Linked DNA regions of Pelodiscus sinensis. The protein of the gene in region 2 interacts with the protein of the main gene of each other region in a pairwise test. Links are inferred from orthologs where the notes say so. Each region holds a gene or a part of one and is shown on either strand. Other genes may lie near its edges.

Region 1 (7,462 bases), on a different chromosome or scaffold from region 2:
TCGCTTTAGATTCCAGCCCCTTGATCCCCCTCGAAACGCTGCCCCCCTCCTTCTGAAAACTCTGTGTCTCGGCCCCTTTGTGGAGGCGGGGGTGACCCGTCGGGTCTGTGCACTGCCCACAGCCCCCGGAAGCTGTCCCTGTGCCTCTACCTGCTGCCCACACATCTCCCTGCCCGGCGCGGGGAGGGCAGAGCGTTCCGACTACACTGGGTTAGTTGTGGGACGAGGTCTCCTCCCCTCGTCGTTCTCCACCCCGCTCCTAGGTGTGGCCCCTGGCTGCTGTGGGGGGAGGGTATCTGCAACGCTTTCCCAGGGCCAGGCAAGCTGGCCGCATGGCTCCAAAGCAGAGCTGGGTTTGAGGACTATGGCACGGTATTGCCTGGCGTGACCTTGTCGCTGTCTCTCTGGGCACCAGCTCCCCGCCTCTAAAACGGGGCTAAGCCCCTTCCCTGCTCCCTGCTCTGTGACTCTCAATTCCTCGGGGATCTCTACAGCTACTGCAACAAAAGTCCCTACCCACGGCTCTCTCAGGTGAGCTGCTCCCTGGTCTTGCCACCTGGAAGTGCTATGAACTCCCTTCTCTCGGGAACAAAATCCTCAGCCACGTGCCATGCAGTTGGGAAGCTGATTTTTATGGTGTTGCTCCTGGCAGGCCAGTAAACTGAGTTGTGCCGGAAGAGGCCTCAGCACTGCTCAAATCCAGCATGGCTTTGAGTTGTTTGTTTTTAACCCTCAGATACTGACTGGTCCAGGGGGTTTGCTCCCAGTTTAAATGTAAAACGGTGTGTGTGTGTGTGTGCCTCTGCGTGCGTGTGTGCGATCCCCACGTCTGTCAGACTTGTAAGCTCTGGAGAAACTTCTTTACACGATGCAGCATAGCACCTGTGATCTGCTCCCTGAATCTGCCTTGAAGGGAGCAGACTCTTGTACGTGAGTTTCTTGTGATTATTTTCAGTAAATTATGCTGGGAAAAGCAATGTTGGTTTTCTCTCCACATACCTTGGGCACGATGACACGACATTTGGGAAACAGAGGGGCAAGTTGGGACGGACGGCTGCAGAGTTCTGCCAACGCCCCTCCTTCCCAAAGTGCAGCCCCCTGCTACCCTGGCTCTAGGTTCAAACACTCAGAGCTCTGCTAGTGTCGCACTCAAATAATCCTGACCCACGGCCTCTTGCTAGCTCAGCCCTGGCTCTCCCACTGCCCTGCGAATGTGGATGGGGTCATGTGCTTTTGTGGGCACAACCCACTTCTTCAGATGAATGGAGAAGTCTCCCAATCAGGTCCAGAAATGATGAGCCATATGAGGGTTTTGGGATGTGCAGGGATGGCATTTTCACACTTCATAGCCTAGCCTTCTCCCTCCCCCACACCTCCTGAGCTGGAAGCTGCTTGCCTGACCAGATCCCTTCTCATTGGTGCTTCCAATCGCTACCACATTTTCCTTGGCAAACAGACACCTACAATGAGGGCACCTACTGAAAGAACCTTAACCCCAGCAGGTGGTTGAGGAAAGAACATACGGAAACACCCCATGGATCAGTAGCTGGGAACCACATCAGGGAAGAAAGAAGGCTGCCTCCCCATCTTTAACACCCCCACTTTTGCTTCTCCACAAGGGCATGCCCCACAGACCCCCAGTCTCCAAAGTCTGTCCTGTACTCTGTCCCCAGCACTCGAATATGAACAGAAAAGTTTCTCTAATTAAAGGAGGAGGGGTTTTCTGGGATGTAAGGAAGAGATTTGAACGCAAGTTTCAACCTGAGCAGATGAACATGAGTGCTCCCAGATGTTTTTAACTTGAGCGGATATTGTTTTGTACAAGATAGACTCCAATTCAAACAGGGATTCATTCAGGGCTGTTCTCTGGCCTGTCTTAAACAGGAGGGCAACTCTTTTTAGCTTAAGAGTGGGAACAGGTTTAGGTGAAACCAAAATAAGTCACGTTTAAATCCCAAATCAGCCACGTTTAAATCCCAAATCAGCATCCTCCCAGAATCCAAGGTGTTTGCTCCAATTTAACTATATTGGACATCCGTGCCAGTGTAGACGCTCTCTTGTGCAAGAAAGCTCCGATGGCCATTTTAGCCCCTGGCTTTCTTGCGCAAGAAATCAACTTGGCTGTCTACACTGGCCCTCTTGCGCAAGAGGGTTTATCCCTGAGCGGGAGCGTCAGAGTATTTACGCAAGAACCACTGATTTTGTACAGTACAAAGTCAGTGTTCTTGCGCAAATACTCGCGGCCAGTGTAGACAGGCGGCAAGATTTTGCACAAAAGCATCCGTCTTAGTGTGTTACCACAGCATCTAGGAGCCCCAGTTACAGCCCAGAACCTGAGGTTGCTACAGGTGGCACACATATCCAATTAAAAACTGGTCTTTGTTCCAAAGTGCTTCTAATCTAATTATAAAATAGGTGAGAGCAGGTAGATACAGCACAAGGAAGCCATACTGGTCAGCAGCTGCCTAACTTTTGTCAAGGTTTTTGCAAGGGGCTGCAGGGGAGAAAGCATAAAGATACTTGTTTGAAAACTGGTGCAATTGTCCCTATGTCACAAAATGTTTGCATGCAAAAAATCCCCCCTCCCCCAGGCAAGTTCATCTTTGTGGACAGGCAAGCCCTCCTGCTGGCAACAAGTTGTTTACACCCACTTGCCACAGCAAGTTCAAGCTCCTGTGAAGTACAGAAGTTTTGTCATTCAATTGGAGGTGTTGACAAAGCCCGGTAAACAGACACACCTACTATGTTGAGAACCAGAGTCAATGGCACTGTGCTACAAGGCATGAGGATTAAGCCTTCAAAGGCTGATAGTCCAATGTCTAGTTTCAGGTCTGGTCAACATAGCAAATGTTCAGCAACCGGAAAAATAGCTATGCTACTCCCTGTAGCTATGCTAAGCCCGAAGGTAGATAGAAACACTCCTTTGCCAACCTAGCTCTATCTTCCGACAGGGAGATGGTAAAGATGGAAATTCCCCTTGTGTGGCTACACCTTGAGCCTACATGACCAGGTTACAACAGCACAGCTACGGCACCCCAGCTATTGACACCGTAGTGCAGACAGAGTCCTACCGTCCCAAACCAAGCAAGACACAGACACACAGCATCAACAGTGAGGCTGCACATGCTTTCCTGGCCAGTAATCCCAAGCAGGCAGAAAAGAGCTGGTTTTAAATAGAGGTTTCCTCTTTGCCCATTGCAAAAACAAAATAATTGCACAACTCAAAAACCGGGCCAAATCCAGCCAGCACAGACCCCTAAGAAGTCTTTTTCTAATGGGGTGCGTCTAGACTGGTAAGATTTTGCGCAAAAGCAAGCGCTTTTGTGCAAAAACTTGCCAGCTGTCCACACTGGCTGTTTGAATTTGCGCAAGAGCACTGACTTTGTAATATACAAAATCAGTGCTTCTTGCCCAAATACTTTCACGCTCCCGCTTGGGAAAAAGCCCTCTTGCGCAAGAATACTTGCACAAGGCGGCCAGTGAAGACAGGGAAGAACTGTTTTGCACAAAAAAGCCCCCATGGCTAAAATGGCGATCGGGGCTTTCTTGTGCAAAATCGCGTCTACACTGGCCACTTTTTGCGCAAAAGCATCCGGGCCAATCTAGACGCGCTGCTGCGGGAATACTTTTAATGGAAAAGTTTTTCCGTTAAAAATATTTCCGCAAAATCATGCCAGTCTAGTCGCAGCCATGTACTTAAAGGGCCAGAGACCGACCCCCCCATCCCATCCCATCTGACTTTGCTTATCTGCAGGGCGAAGCCTGTCCATGGCCGTTAACAGCCTCTAATCAGCTGCCTGTTTGCCCTGTATCTGGGGCCCATCTCGCCGGTCAGGAGGCCTGCGGGGAAGGCGAGGCCCAGGCCCTGCTCCTCACCACCCCACCCCCCCCCCCCCCGGGCCAGGGGTGCGAATCCTGGGCAAACGCTGCGGGGGGGGGGGGCTGTTCTGCCTCCCCCGTCCTGCTGGATGAGTCGCCTGCTGGCAGCGCGGGGGGGGGGGGGGGGGGGAGGGGCTTGTGCCCCGCCCTCTGCTGGGGCAACCACACTCCAGCCACTTGTGTGGCACCGCCCGGGGGGGCCACACGCCCGAGGCAGGGCCCCCCAGCGCCGAGCCTCTGCCCCAAGGGACCCCCCCGCCTGCCCCCCCTCGGGCTGGGGGTCCCTCCCGCCTGCCCCCCCCCTCGGGTCTGGGGGTCCCGTAAATCTTGGGGTCTCCCCCGCTACGGGGGCCATCTTGGAAACAGGGGGGGGGATCACCTCAGCCCCACTTCCGCTCCAGGCGCCCTCCTGTGCCCTCATTTCCGCCTGCCCGTGCTGTCAATCATTCCGCGCTGGGCGGGAAGGCCAGCCAATGGGCGCCCGCGGGGCGGGCGGGCCGAGCGCGTTTCTCTTCCGGTTCGGCGCCGGAAGTGCCGGTCGCCGTTGGAAACGCGGCCCGGGCAGGAGGCTGGCCACAGGTGGGGGGGCCTGACTGCGATCTCCCCCCCCCCGCCCCGGAAGTGACCCGCGGGTCCCTGGGGGGGCTGGGTCGGCTCTTGTCCCCCGTACCTGGGGGATTCCCCATCCCGGGGGGGGGGCGCTGGGCCCCTGTACCTGGGGGATTCCCCATCCCGGGGGGGGGGGGGGCGCTGGGCCCCTGTACCTGGGGGATTCCCCATCCCGGGGGGGGGGCGCTGGGCCCCTGTACCTGGGGGATTCCCCATCCCGGGGGGGGGGGGCGCTGGGCCCCTGTACCTGGGGGATTCCCCATCCCGGGGGGGGGGGGGCGCTGGGCCACTGTACCTGGGGGATTCCCCATCCCGGGGGGGGGGGCGCTGGGCCCCTGTACCTGGGGGATTCCCCATCCCGGGGGGGGGGCGCTGGGCCCCTGTACCTGGGGGATTCCCCATCCCGGGGGGGGGGGCGTTGGGCCCCTGTACCTGGGGGATTCCCCATCCCGGGGGGGGGGGGCGTTGGGCCCCTGTACCTGGGGGATTCCCCATCCCGGGGGGGGGGCGTTGGGCCCCTGTATCTGGGGGATTCCCCATCCCGGGGGGGGGCGCTGGGCCCCTGTAACTGGGGGATTCCCCATCCCGGGGGGGGGCGCTGGGCCCCTGTAACTGGGGGATTCCCCATCCCGGGGGGGGGGCGCTGGGCCCCTGTAACTGGGGGATTCCCCATCCCCGGGGGGGGGGGCGCTGGGCCCCTGTATCTGGGGGATTCCCCATCCCGGGGGGGCGCGCTGGGCCCCTGTATCTGGGGGATTCCCCATCCCGGGGGGGCTGTGGTGTTGGGAGGGTTTGGTTAAATCCCAGAGAGCACTTCTACCCCCATCCCGTTGCAGCCCCTTCCCCCCCCATTCCTGAGTGTGCTGCAGCTGGGGGTGAAGCAAAAGGGCAGCATGTGCCATTCTCCCTGGCTCCGACCGGACTGACACTTTCTCTCTTGTCTGCAACTTACAGGCAAAGATGGGCCGCAGGAAGTCAAAGCGGAAGCCCCCACCCAAGAAGAAGATGACGGGCACCCTGGAGACGCAGTTCACCTGCCCCTTCTGTAACCACGAGAAATCCTGTGACGTCAAAATGTAAGCAGAGCGGCGTTTCTGGTTCCAGTGCCGGGGCGCAGCCAGCTGGACGGCTGTGCTAGGGCTCCAAAGGGTGCGCTTACACTGCCTGTCGCTTCTCGGGGTGAAGGGGATGACCTCATTCCCATCTGGGGCTGGGTCAGGAAGTCCTTGCATTGTGGGGTTAGAGGTGTTTCCGGGGGGATGCCAGGCATTCGCTGAAGTGTCATGCTGGCCACTGCTGGAGGTAGGACACTAGGCTGTAGTCTTGGTCTGGTGTGACAGGGGGAGGAAACAGGGCTAGATTGGCCTATTGGTTTGATCCAGTGTAGTAGCAAGGGAAGGGTGGACAAAACAGAGTAGATATTCATATCTAGCTCTATAGTGATTAACGCACTGGGCCAGGACTCCAGATATATTGATTCTCTTTCCAGTTCTGCCCCTGGTCTGCTGAGTAGGCATGTAAAAATCCCATTTAACCAGTTAATCGCTTAAACAGAATCTCGCAGGTGGAGGGACCCTCCAGCCCGGCTAGCTCACAGTGATCCCCTGCCTGCAGCACGGTGTGCCAACCAGGCTGGAGCAGCCCTCCCATCCATGTTGGACAGAAGTTAGCTCCAGCCCAGCTGGACCGCCTGTTAACCGGTTAACTGTTTAACCGGTGAAACTTCATGTCTCTCTGCCTCGGTTTCCCCGTTTGTAAAATGGGAATAATAATGCCAGTGTCATTTATATATTGCTTGAGGTCTACACACAAAAAGAACTAGAGCTAGGGGCTGTAGTTGCTATTACTATTAGCACTTATAATCTGTAGATTGGTGAGCCATTTGTCAGGTCTGGCCTGGCAAGGAAGGGGAATGTTACAGAGTAAGCTGGGCCAATTGGTCTCTTCCAATTGGAAATGAAAGCCAGGCTAAAAGGGGTCCATTTGGTTTGATCTGGCATAGGACAGAAAGAGGGATATAAGGCTAAACAGGCCAGTTGATTTAATTGTAGTGTAGTCTGTTTGTGACAGGAAGAGCCATATGGAAGCATTTCTGTAACTAAGGAACTTACTTTTTAAATGATATAAGAGAGCAACTGTAATTAGCTCACAGGAAGGGCATCTGGGGTTTTGCTATACAGGCAGTCCCCGGGTTACGTACAAGATAGGGACTGTAGGTTTGTTCTTAAGTTGAATTTGTATGTAAGTCGGAACTGGTACATATTGTAGGGGAAACTCTAGCCAAACATTTCTCCAGAGCTCAGTTTTATTCTCCCACACCTCGCTTCCCTCAGTCCTTTATTCTCAAGCTGAGGTGTCTGCTGAGAAAAGCCGCTCTGCATCTTCCTGGTCTGCTGGAGGGGGGCGCTAGCTTCGCGTCTCCCTGGTCTGCTGGGGGGAAGCAGGTAGTGCGGGGTTCCCTCACCCTGTTTGTAAGTAGGGATCCGATGTAAGTCGGATCCATGTAACCCGGGGACTGCCTGTACCCTCATCAGCAAGTACTACTGAAGCGTGACTTCATATCATGGATCACTTCCATAAAAGTAGTACTAAAGTGCCACAAGATTTCCTTCTTGGGGTGAAGCTTAGGAAAAAAAATCCCCTGTTTTCCTGTTCATGAGTGTATAATCAACCACACTGGAACTCAGGTTTGTACCATCTCAAATCCTGCACCTTTCAGAGCAGTACAGATGGTTTGCACATTTCCACCTTACTTATCTTCTTGCCCAATGCCTAAATGTTCAGTTCTTTTAACCTCTCATAAATCCTGAGATGGAACATAATCCGTTGGTGAAAGCAGAAGACCAGGAGTCAGGACTCCTGGGTTCTTTTTCCAGCTCTTGCAACCAACTTGCTTCACGATCATGTTGGGCAAGTTGCTTCCCTTCCATTCACTGTTTTGTGTCAGTAAAATGTGAATAACTTAGCAGCTCTT
Region 2 (7,924 bases):
GCTGGCACATTAATTCTAACTTCTGCAACAACCATAATATAAATGTACACAAAAAGTGCCACTCATACAATTTTAAACCTTAAGCATAAGAATTTCACTAACTTTTCCTATTATATCAAATCCCAGCTAACCTATTATCAGAAAGACAATGGCAGTTTATGCTCCCTCTTTTGGCCCCAATCCTATAAAGACTTACAATACACTCCACTTTATATGCTATGGGACTTTGAAGACAATGGGACTACTCACAGTGTATGAAGTTAAGCACATGAATAAGGCTTTTGCAGAATCAGTGCCATAAAGTAACTGCAACTAGGGATGTCAGTTATTAACCAATTAACCAGCAGCAACAACCAGCAGCTCCCTGCCCGCCTCCATTTAAGCAATGAAATGTGACATTTAATTGGTTGCAACCACAACTTGTAGCATTGTATTAACATATGGGACCCAGACAGTGGAAGTGACTAGTCAATGTGAGAAAAAAAGAAACAAATACATAAATGGTATGGATAAATACATTCAATATTTAAAATTCTTTCAACCTTGATATTTTAAGGAGTGGGATAAAGATTTATTTTTAAATGTAGTTTTCAATTTGACGGCATTTCGCTAAAACACAGAGAAAAGAGTAAAGAAAACCCACCAGTGTCTTAAAATATAATTGGAGTAATTTCATATAAACAAGCACATAATAACTAAACAACTTGTGTCAGAAATATAAAGTCTTCCTTGAATCATGAAGGAATTTGTCTACCCTACAGATATTGCCTACCCTACAAATATAACCACATTTGGAAACCTGCTTCCAACCTTCTTTTCTTCTAGTCTTATTATGCACGTAGTGCCAGTCTGTAAGGTACTCCGGGCATACCAATATTTCACAAACTGGTGAAAGCTTGATCAAATCTATCTGAGAAATGTGGCTGAAGCCTTGATTTCTCCAGAGCTTCAGTCCAGTTTTATCATTATTAATGGGATTATGTCAGCGTCCAAAATATGCCTGGCAATTTTCAAACAGACATAATCATGCCTTCCAAGGAACTCACAATCTAAGAACACAAGCAACCCAAGAAGGATAAAGAAATAAAACACGCAATGGTTTTAGAGTGTCAACTTCCCCATTTGCCAGTTACCTAGCCATATGATCTACAAACTGGATGCATGGCTATGGACAAATTCAGGGATAACCAAGGCATAATCACATTCCCCGTTAATTTAAACGGAATAAATGGACCCATGCACAATTAAACATGGTTTGGGGTTGAGTCACAGAGCCCTCAGCAAGCCAAATCCTATGGCAACATCAAAGCTTTTATTTAGGGATATAAAATGGGTAAAAAGTAAGCATACCGGTTTGCATGAGAGTTACTGGTGTGCTTACTGATTAACCAGCCCTGGCCAGTGAATTCTGCCCGCAGCCAGCCACACTGGATAGCAGTGGCCCTGGCCATGCGATGTGACCTCACAGCTGCAGCGAAACTAGAGGCAGGCCGGGCGACAGGTCCTGAGTTAAAATGGGTAACTATTTAAAAAAAAAAAAAAAACACTTAAAGCATTAGACATATGAGGCATGAACCAGTACTGCTTTCATTTTAATAGTAGTCCATATTCCCTTTAATCGTAGGGTCTTTTTACAAAGAAATTTTCTTCCTCCCTCTTTTCCATCCCTGTTTGACAGAGTGCCTGATTATATAAACGGTAACAATAACGGTCTCCTTTTAGGGGAAAAGAGGAAAACGTTTTAGATGAGCTATAGCTACTGAAGTTGAGGTCTGACCTGTTATCTTTAAAAAACACACATTCACAAGAATACCAAAGATTAAAAAAAAAATGTAGTTTCTGTTTCTGGCTCTTCAAAATATGTTGGTGGTATCAACAAACCAGTGGCCCCAAACTTTTCAGCATCATGCCCTTCCTTACCTCTGTCCATGCTGTGCATTCTTTGCCAGGGGCTGAGCGTGGGAATACAACTCAGAGTGGAAAGGGAAGGCAAATATGGCAAGGACCAAGGAGGCCTAGGCTTAGTCTGGGTCCGGAAGTGAGGCCAGAGCCGCAAATGAGGTTGTAGTGAGGGATCAAGGCTGGGAGCAGGGGCTGGATTCAGAAGCTTGGTGGGCCAAATCTTGCCTGCTCCTGATGTAGACACTGTTACTTACATTGTCTGTTGACAACTTCCTGGCTGCCTCCAGCTCAGAGCATCAGTGGCAAAGGTCAGAGCTAGCGTCTTGAAACTGACAAGAATGTCAATTTTACTGCTAATATGCTTCTTGCCCTGATATTGCGCCCAGCATGGGGCTTACAGCTGCCCACCCCCCAGCTGTCAACCTGGCACTGGGCTCACAGCTTAAGTCCTCATCCTGGGGTGATGACCCAACTGTGAGGCAGGATGCCCCACACACCTAAATTAAGGTGACCTAATTTTGTAGTCTCGGAGGGGAAGCAGTGCTAGTCTGTAATTTAGTGGTCCTATAGCATTTTAGAGAATAACAAAAATACTTAAATAGTACCATGAGCTTTTGTGGGCACAGCCCACTTCTTCAGAAGAATGGAGCAAAAAAAGCTGCTCTACTCTTTCAAAGAAGTGAGTTGTGCCCATGAAAAATCATGATAATATTTATATATTTATGTTAATCTCTAAGGTACAACAGGACCACTCATTTTTTTCTAATTTTGTAGTTTTCTTCCCACAGATACTGTGGGTGATGACACTATGTAAGGATCTTAACACAGATATTCCTCAGTCACCACACTAGCAATTTACAAGTGTGTTGTTTGAGCAGTCTTCTGAAAGTAGTCTATTTTTGCTCCATCCTAACAGCAGAGCCTTATGTCTGACCTTTAAGCCAGAAAGGGTGGTGTCAAGAGGCCATCATCCAGATCCGTGGTGTTCAACCAGTTCTGAAGCAGTAGCCACTATGGCTATGTCTAGACTACATCTAGCCTCTTTCAAAAGACAGCATCTAGACTGCAACCACTTCTTTCGAAAAAACAGATCGCTTTTTCAAAAGAGAGCACCCAGGCAGCCTGGATGCTTTCTTTCGAAGAAGCCCTGTTTGCATTCAAGAACACCTTTTTTCGAAAGAGCACTTTTGAAAAAAGGCGTTCTTCCTTGTAAAATGAAGTTTACCACAGTTGAAAAAAACGCCACGTTCTTTTGATTTAATTTTGAAAGAAAATGGCAGCAGTCTAAACGCAGGGGAAGTTTTTTTGGAAAAAGGCCACTTTTTTCGAAAAAACCCTGTAGTCTAGACACATCCTCTAGTAGCTATTGCTAAAGCGAACTAACCACAGTCAACCAGCCACATGTGGCTAGGGTGTTGGGCACCACGGATCTAGAGTTACCAGCTTTCCTGGCTTCATAGACCAGATGCCATTTGCAGCAGTGATGTCCCATCCATCCAGTCAGGAAAGTTGGCAGCCCTACATCAGACAGTCTGAGAGCTTTGATAGATGGTATCAGCTGTGCATCACATTTAGGCCTTGCCTATGCTTAAAGCTGTTTTACCAGTTAGGGGCTATTTCAGTTAAGGGATGATATTTTTAATGGCATAAAAAGTGATTTATGCCACTACACATTAGATTTTCTTTTCCCTGTAGAGGAAGCACCTTTATAAACCAATGTAACCACATCCAAAGTAGCAGGGCTACACCACTTTCTATCAGGATAATTATTTCCTTTGCCCTACAATAGCTCTATCACTATAAGCATCTTTATATGGATATGACTGCATCCACACTAGGGAGGTCACACCGTTTTGACTGTACCTGTACTGTTAAAACACAACTTTGTAGTGTGGGCAAGCCCTTAGGTGTGCCCAGGACAAACTACAAAGCAAGACAAAGTTCTGTGAACTTGGGATTTTGCAGTCAACCTGTAACTCAACGCAGCTGCTGCAAACACCAAACAAAAGGTAGGAGGAAACACACAAGTCTGCACCCAAAGCTCTTGCAGGAGGAAGGAAGCCATCCTGGCATTAAGTCCCAGGCGATACGCAGCAGCTCTAGTGGGTTTCTGGTTCCCCTCCATTCAAACCTAAGCGACCCAGTGAAAAGGGTCCACGTGAAATCAGCGCAGACAGCTCCAACCCTACCCGGCATCCTGAGCAAGGTGCCCAGCCGGGAAGGAAGCGGAGGGAAGACGCTGGTTCCTGGGAAGGGGAGGTGGGACCCGGGGAATAGGGAGCCCCCTCCCAGCACGAAGCGGGGGGAGAGAACCGCTCTCCTAGGGAGGGGGTGGGGGCATCCATCCTACCTGCACGAGCCCCCCTCGCAGACCAACACCCGCGGCGCAGGCCGGGCACCAGTCAGCCAGACACCGGCTCCGGAACAGGAAAAGGGAGGGAGGAGCATCCACCCCGCGCGGAAGCCCAGCCGCAGCCATCCGGGCCGGGTCACAGAGGGGGCGGGCAATGGGCCAAGGAAGGGCCGGCGAGCCCCTGGCCCCGTGCGCTCCCCTCCCCTGCGGGGGAGCCCCGGCTGCGGAGCGCGGCGGCCCGGCCCATGGCAGGGGAGGGGGGCCGCCCCCTGCTCCTCCCCTTGCCGCACGGGTGTCCCACGCTGGTGCTCCGCGGAACGTCGCGGCCCTCGGCGTTCGGACCGTAGAACGTTGCTGGCCCGAAAGTTCTTGGCTCCGAACGCTCGCCTAGCGCGGCCGCCATGAGCAGCGCAGGGCAGCCGGGCCGCTTGCGGAGCTACCCGGCGCTGCCCGTGTGCGTGGTGGAGGATCACCAGGATGTAAGTGCTGGGGGGGGGGGGTGATAACTGGGACCCGCACCGGGACTGCTGTTGGGGCTAGAACCGCTGAAAGGGACACAGCCCAGCCCTGGGTCTCTGGGAGTCAGTTCCCACCACGACCAAATCTCTGAGATTATGCCTGTGCTGCACTAAGGCCGGGACTGAGGGGCCTGCGGTGCATGCTCTGTGTTTCCAAGCCTGCAATTGAACATGGGCACCACATGCTAAACCTGGTTTTACAGTTACTGGCTCTGGGGCTCGCACAGCCACGTTAATAGGCAGGCCTGACTTCAGCCTGTGGCTGGAGCTGTCTCCAGCTGCAAGACAAAGTTTGGACCTAATTCACACTTTAAAATTAAGTTGACCTAAGTTACAACGATGTATAGCCACAGCAGTAATTACATTAGGTTTGGTGGCTACATTACATGTCCTTGTTCCAGGACTAAGTGCTTGCACCTATGATTGAGCTGCTGGTGTGGGGCACTGGGGGGTGACTTCTGAAAGGCAGCTACAATCAATGTAAGCAATGCAGTGTCTACACTGACACTGTAGCAACCTAGTGACATCGACCTAAACACTGCACCTCTCCTGGATTTGAAGTTGTCAGTAGTGGGTGAGTTACATTGGTGGGAGCTACATTTTGATGTACATGCTTATAGAATTAGTTTGATATAAGCTGCCTTTTTTGACCTACCTGTATTGTAGGACAGGCATTAGGCTCAAAAGGACCTGGGTCCTGATTGCTTGTTGACCTGATTTAGACAGATTTCTTTGTGGACATGGGTGGGATCAAATCTGAGGGTTAGCCCAGATTTGCAATGCTATATAGACTTATCCTTGGGCATGTGTTTTGCTTCACTACACTGTTGCACCTATGCAAATTATTATGCAGGAATGACGCCTGTGAGATAAAGAGCTTGTCAGCACATACAGCACTGCAGCAGCACAGTTTACATGGATGCTGCAGTGCTCTTGTGGCACTTGGACACTATCTACACAAATGAGAACTTCTCCTACAAGCATAGGTACTCTACTTCCCCCATGCTGACACCAGAAACGCTGCCAGAGATATAGTCCTTCCTACAACAGGAATTTGGTCAATGTAACTGCTGATCAGGTGTGCTGATTTTTCACACTCTGGGTGACATGTACATCATCATAAGTCTGTAGCATAGATCACAACAGAGCACCTACACATGATTTTAAATTGTTACTTACTGTGATACCTACTGCATCACACCTTTAGCACATACTGTACTGGTTAGCTGTCTCCCTTATTTTAGTAGCCATTATACAAGTACTAGTCTATGATACAAAATATCTTTTTTGCATCACCAATTGTCTTTGGTAACTGCATGAAAAACTCAGTTTATAATTATTGCCTTGCAGCTTAGGCAGTCACTCCAAATAACATGCCATTTATCCACCTTGGCCATTGTGTAAAGGGACTAGGTATTTGACACATCCATACAAGATCGCTGAATGGGAATTAGCTTCCCCAATCCCCAGAATTTCCTTTATGCACCAATGAACAGGTTTGGGGGTTGCTCCCATAGTCCTTGTGACAGTTCTGATCTATCTCCTCCGCTGGCAGAAATAGTATAGAAAATGCACAGTCTGACTTGTGGAAGCACAGAGCATTGCAAATCATAAGCCCCTCTGTAGACAATCTTGTGATCAGCACTCACTTCTGGCATCTGCTCCCTGGAGTGGCGGGCACCGTACTAACAGCCAGAAGCTGCTCACTGGGGCACTTCCTGGCCCCCTGTGGTCATGCATGTTTATAATGGTCCCTGCTCTCTCTCACACCCCTTTCTGTTTGATGTGAAATAACCACCTTCCATGCACATTCACTTATCCTGGCACAACCAAACCCTGACCTTGCTTTAAGTTATGATAAGAGGAAGCTGCATAGCTCTTACTATTTAGGAGCAGTTCTTGAACAAATGGACTCACAGACTGACTCTCATTTCTAAAATATATAGTAAGATAAGCAACTGAAAAGGCTCAAATCAGAGCCCAGTCATTCATATGTCTATCTTATTTTCACATTATTTTGCCATAAATATACCATAACATAATCTAGGAAATGCTGGCAAAGTAAAATAACATCCAAAAAGGTACAAAAAAATTTAACCTGTCTTAACATAGTAAATGGGCTTTTTGGCCTGTGCTGAACATATCAGGTGTAATTCACCCAAGAAAAGAGGGCCCATTAAAAGCTTTGCACGCTTCTCATAAGAGACCCATTTCATACAGAGGCATATGTCTTCTGTGACTGGTGCTGCTGGCAATAAGCAGGGGTACTGAATTCATAGAACTTGTATGCAGAGTCAGTTGCCTAAAGGCTCCCTTCACTCTGCCAGTCTGTAGCCTCACATAAACTGGGAACAAGTTAGCCTTGCCCCCTGTCTCTTGTGTGTATGGGGGCTGTATGTCTGCAATCTCCATGTTGACAGTATAGGGCCTGTGAGAGTGTCTTACAGCCTGAGTAATGCAGGTTTCACCGAATTTGCGTTTAATTTTGATGGATAATGTCACTGGTTATGTTTAGCCTTTATTATTCATTTTTTCCAACAGATGCACCAGATTATGGGTTTAAAGATTTTTCTTTTTGTATATTTTATTGATTGTTATTTTCACAGTTGCAGGAAATTATGGGAAAAGGTAATACATTGGAATCAGCTGTTATGCTTAAAAGAAGCACACGGGATCTTTTTCAGGGGGATAAGGCAACACGCCACATTTATTGATAATATAACAAAGTAGCATGCATTTACACACACACACATACACAGTCACACCCTGCTGATGGAATAGTTACCAGTCTGTTGCTTGACCCAGCCTGTTGGCAAGATAGGTCAAATGTGAGGAAGGAGCTGGGTTCTTGTCAGTCCAGACTGATGCTCTTCTTGGGAGTACGGTAACCCAAAGAACCATATAAGACACCCTATCCTTTATAGGATTTTCCTTCCATGCAAGTCTATGCATTTTTGTCAGGCCTTAATTAGTCATTCAACATCACAATCAGTCTTCCTACGACATATGCTTATCGAGAAGAAGTTGTTCTCACAGTCATTTGATGTCCATGTGCTGACGACCCCTCAGGGGTGTTGTCTTTCTGATGAAAGTTGTTATTGGTTTCCTATCAAGGGGTGCTTGCCACTAACCACAGGGTTCATCAGTCTGC

What was found. The genes of interacting proteins can lie anywhere in the genome.
Region 1: the proteins of C2H5orf22 (region 2) and ELOF1 interact in binary tests that used the Homo sapiens proteins (3 or more experiments, as listed by UniProt). The two-hybrid records come from large-scale screens. The link is inferred for Pelodiscus sinensis from reciprocal best matches to the Homo sapiens genes C5orf22 and ELOF1.

What each region holds. Positions count from the first base shown.
Region 1 is NC_134729.1:12,748,819-12,756,280, reverse strand, and holds the start of ELOF1 (transcription elongation factor 1 homolog), read left to right. Parts: upstream 1-4,327; 5' UTR 4,328-4,458; intron 4,459-5,442; 5' UTR 5,443-5,448; coding exon 5,449-5,564; intron 5,565-7,462. UniProt on the Homo sapiens protein: Factor involved in transcription-coupled nucleotide excision repair (TC-NER), a mechanism that rapidly removes RNA polymerase II-blocking lesions from the transcribed strand of active genes.
Region 2 is NC_134712.1:120,055,985-120,063,908, reverse strand, and holds the start of C2H5orf22 (UPF0489 protein C5orf22 homolog), read left to right. Parts: upstream 1-4,513; 5' UTR 4,514-4,656; coding exon 4,657-4,734; intron 4,735-7,924.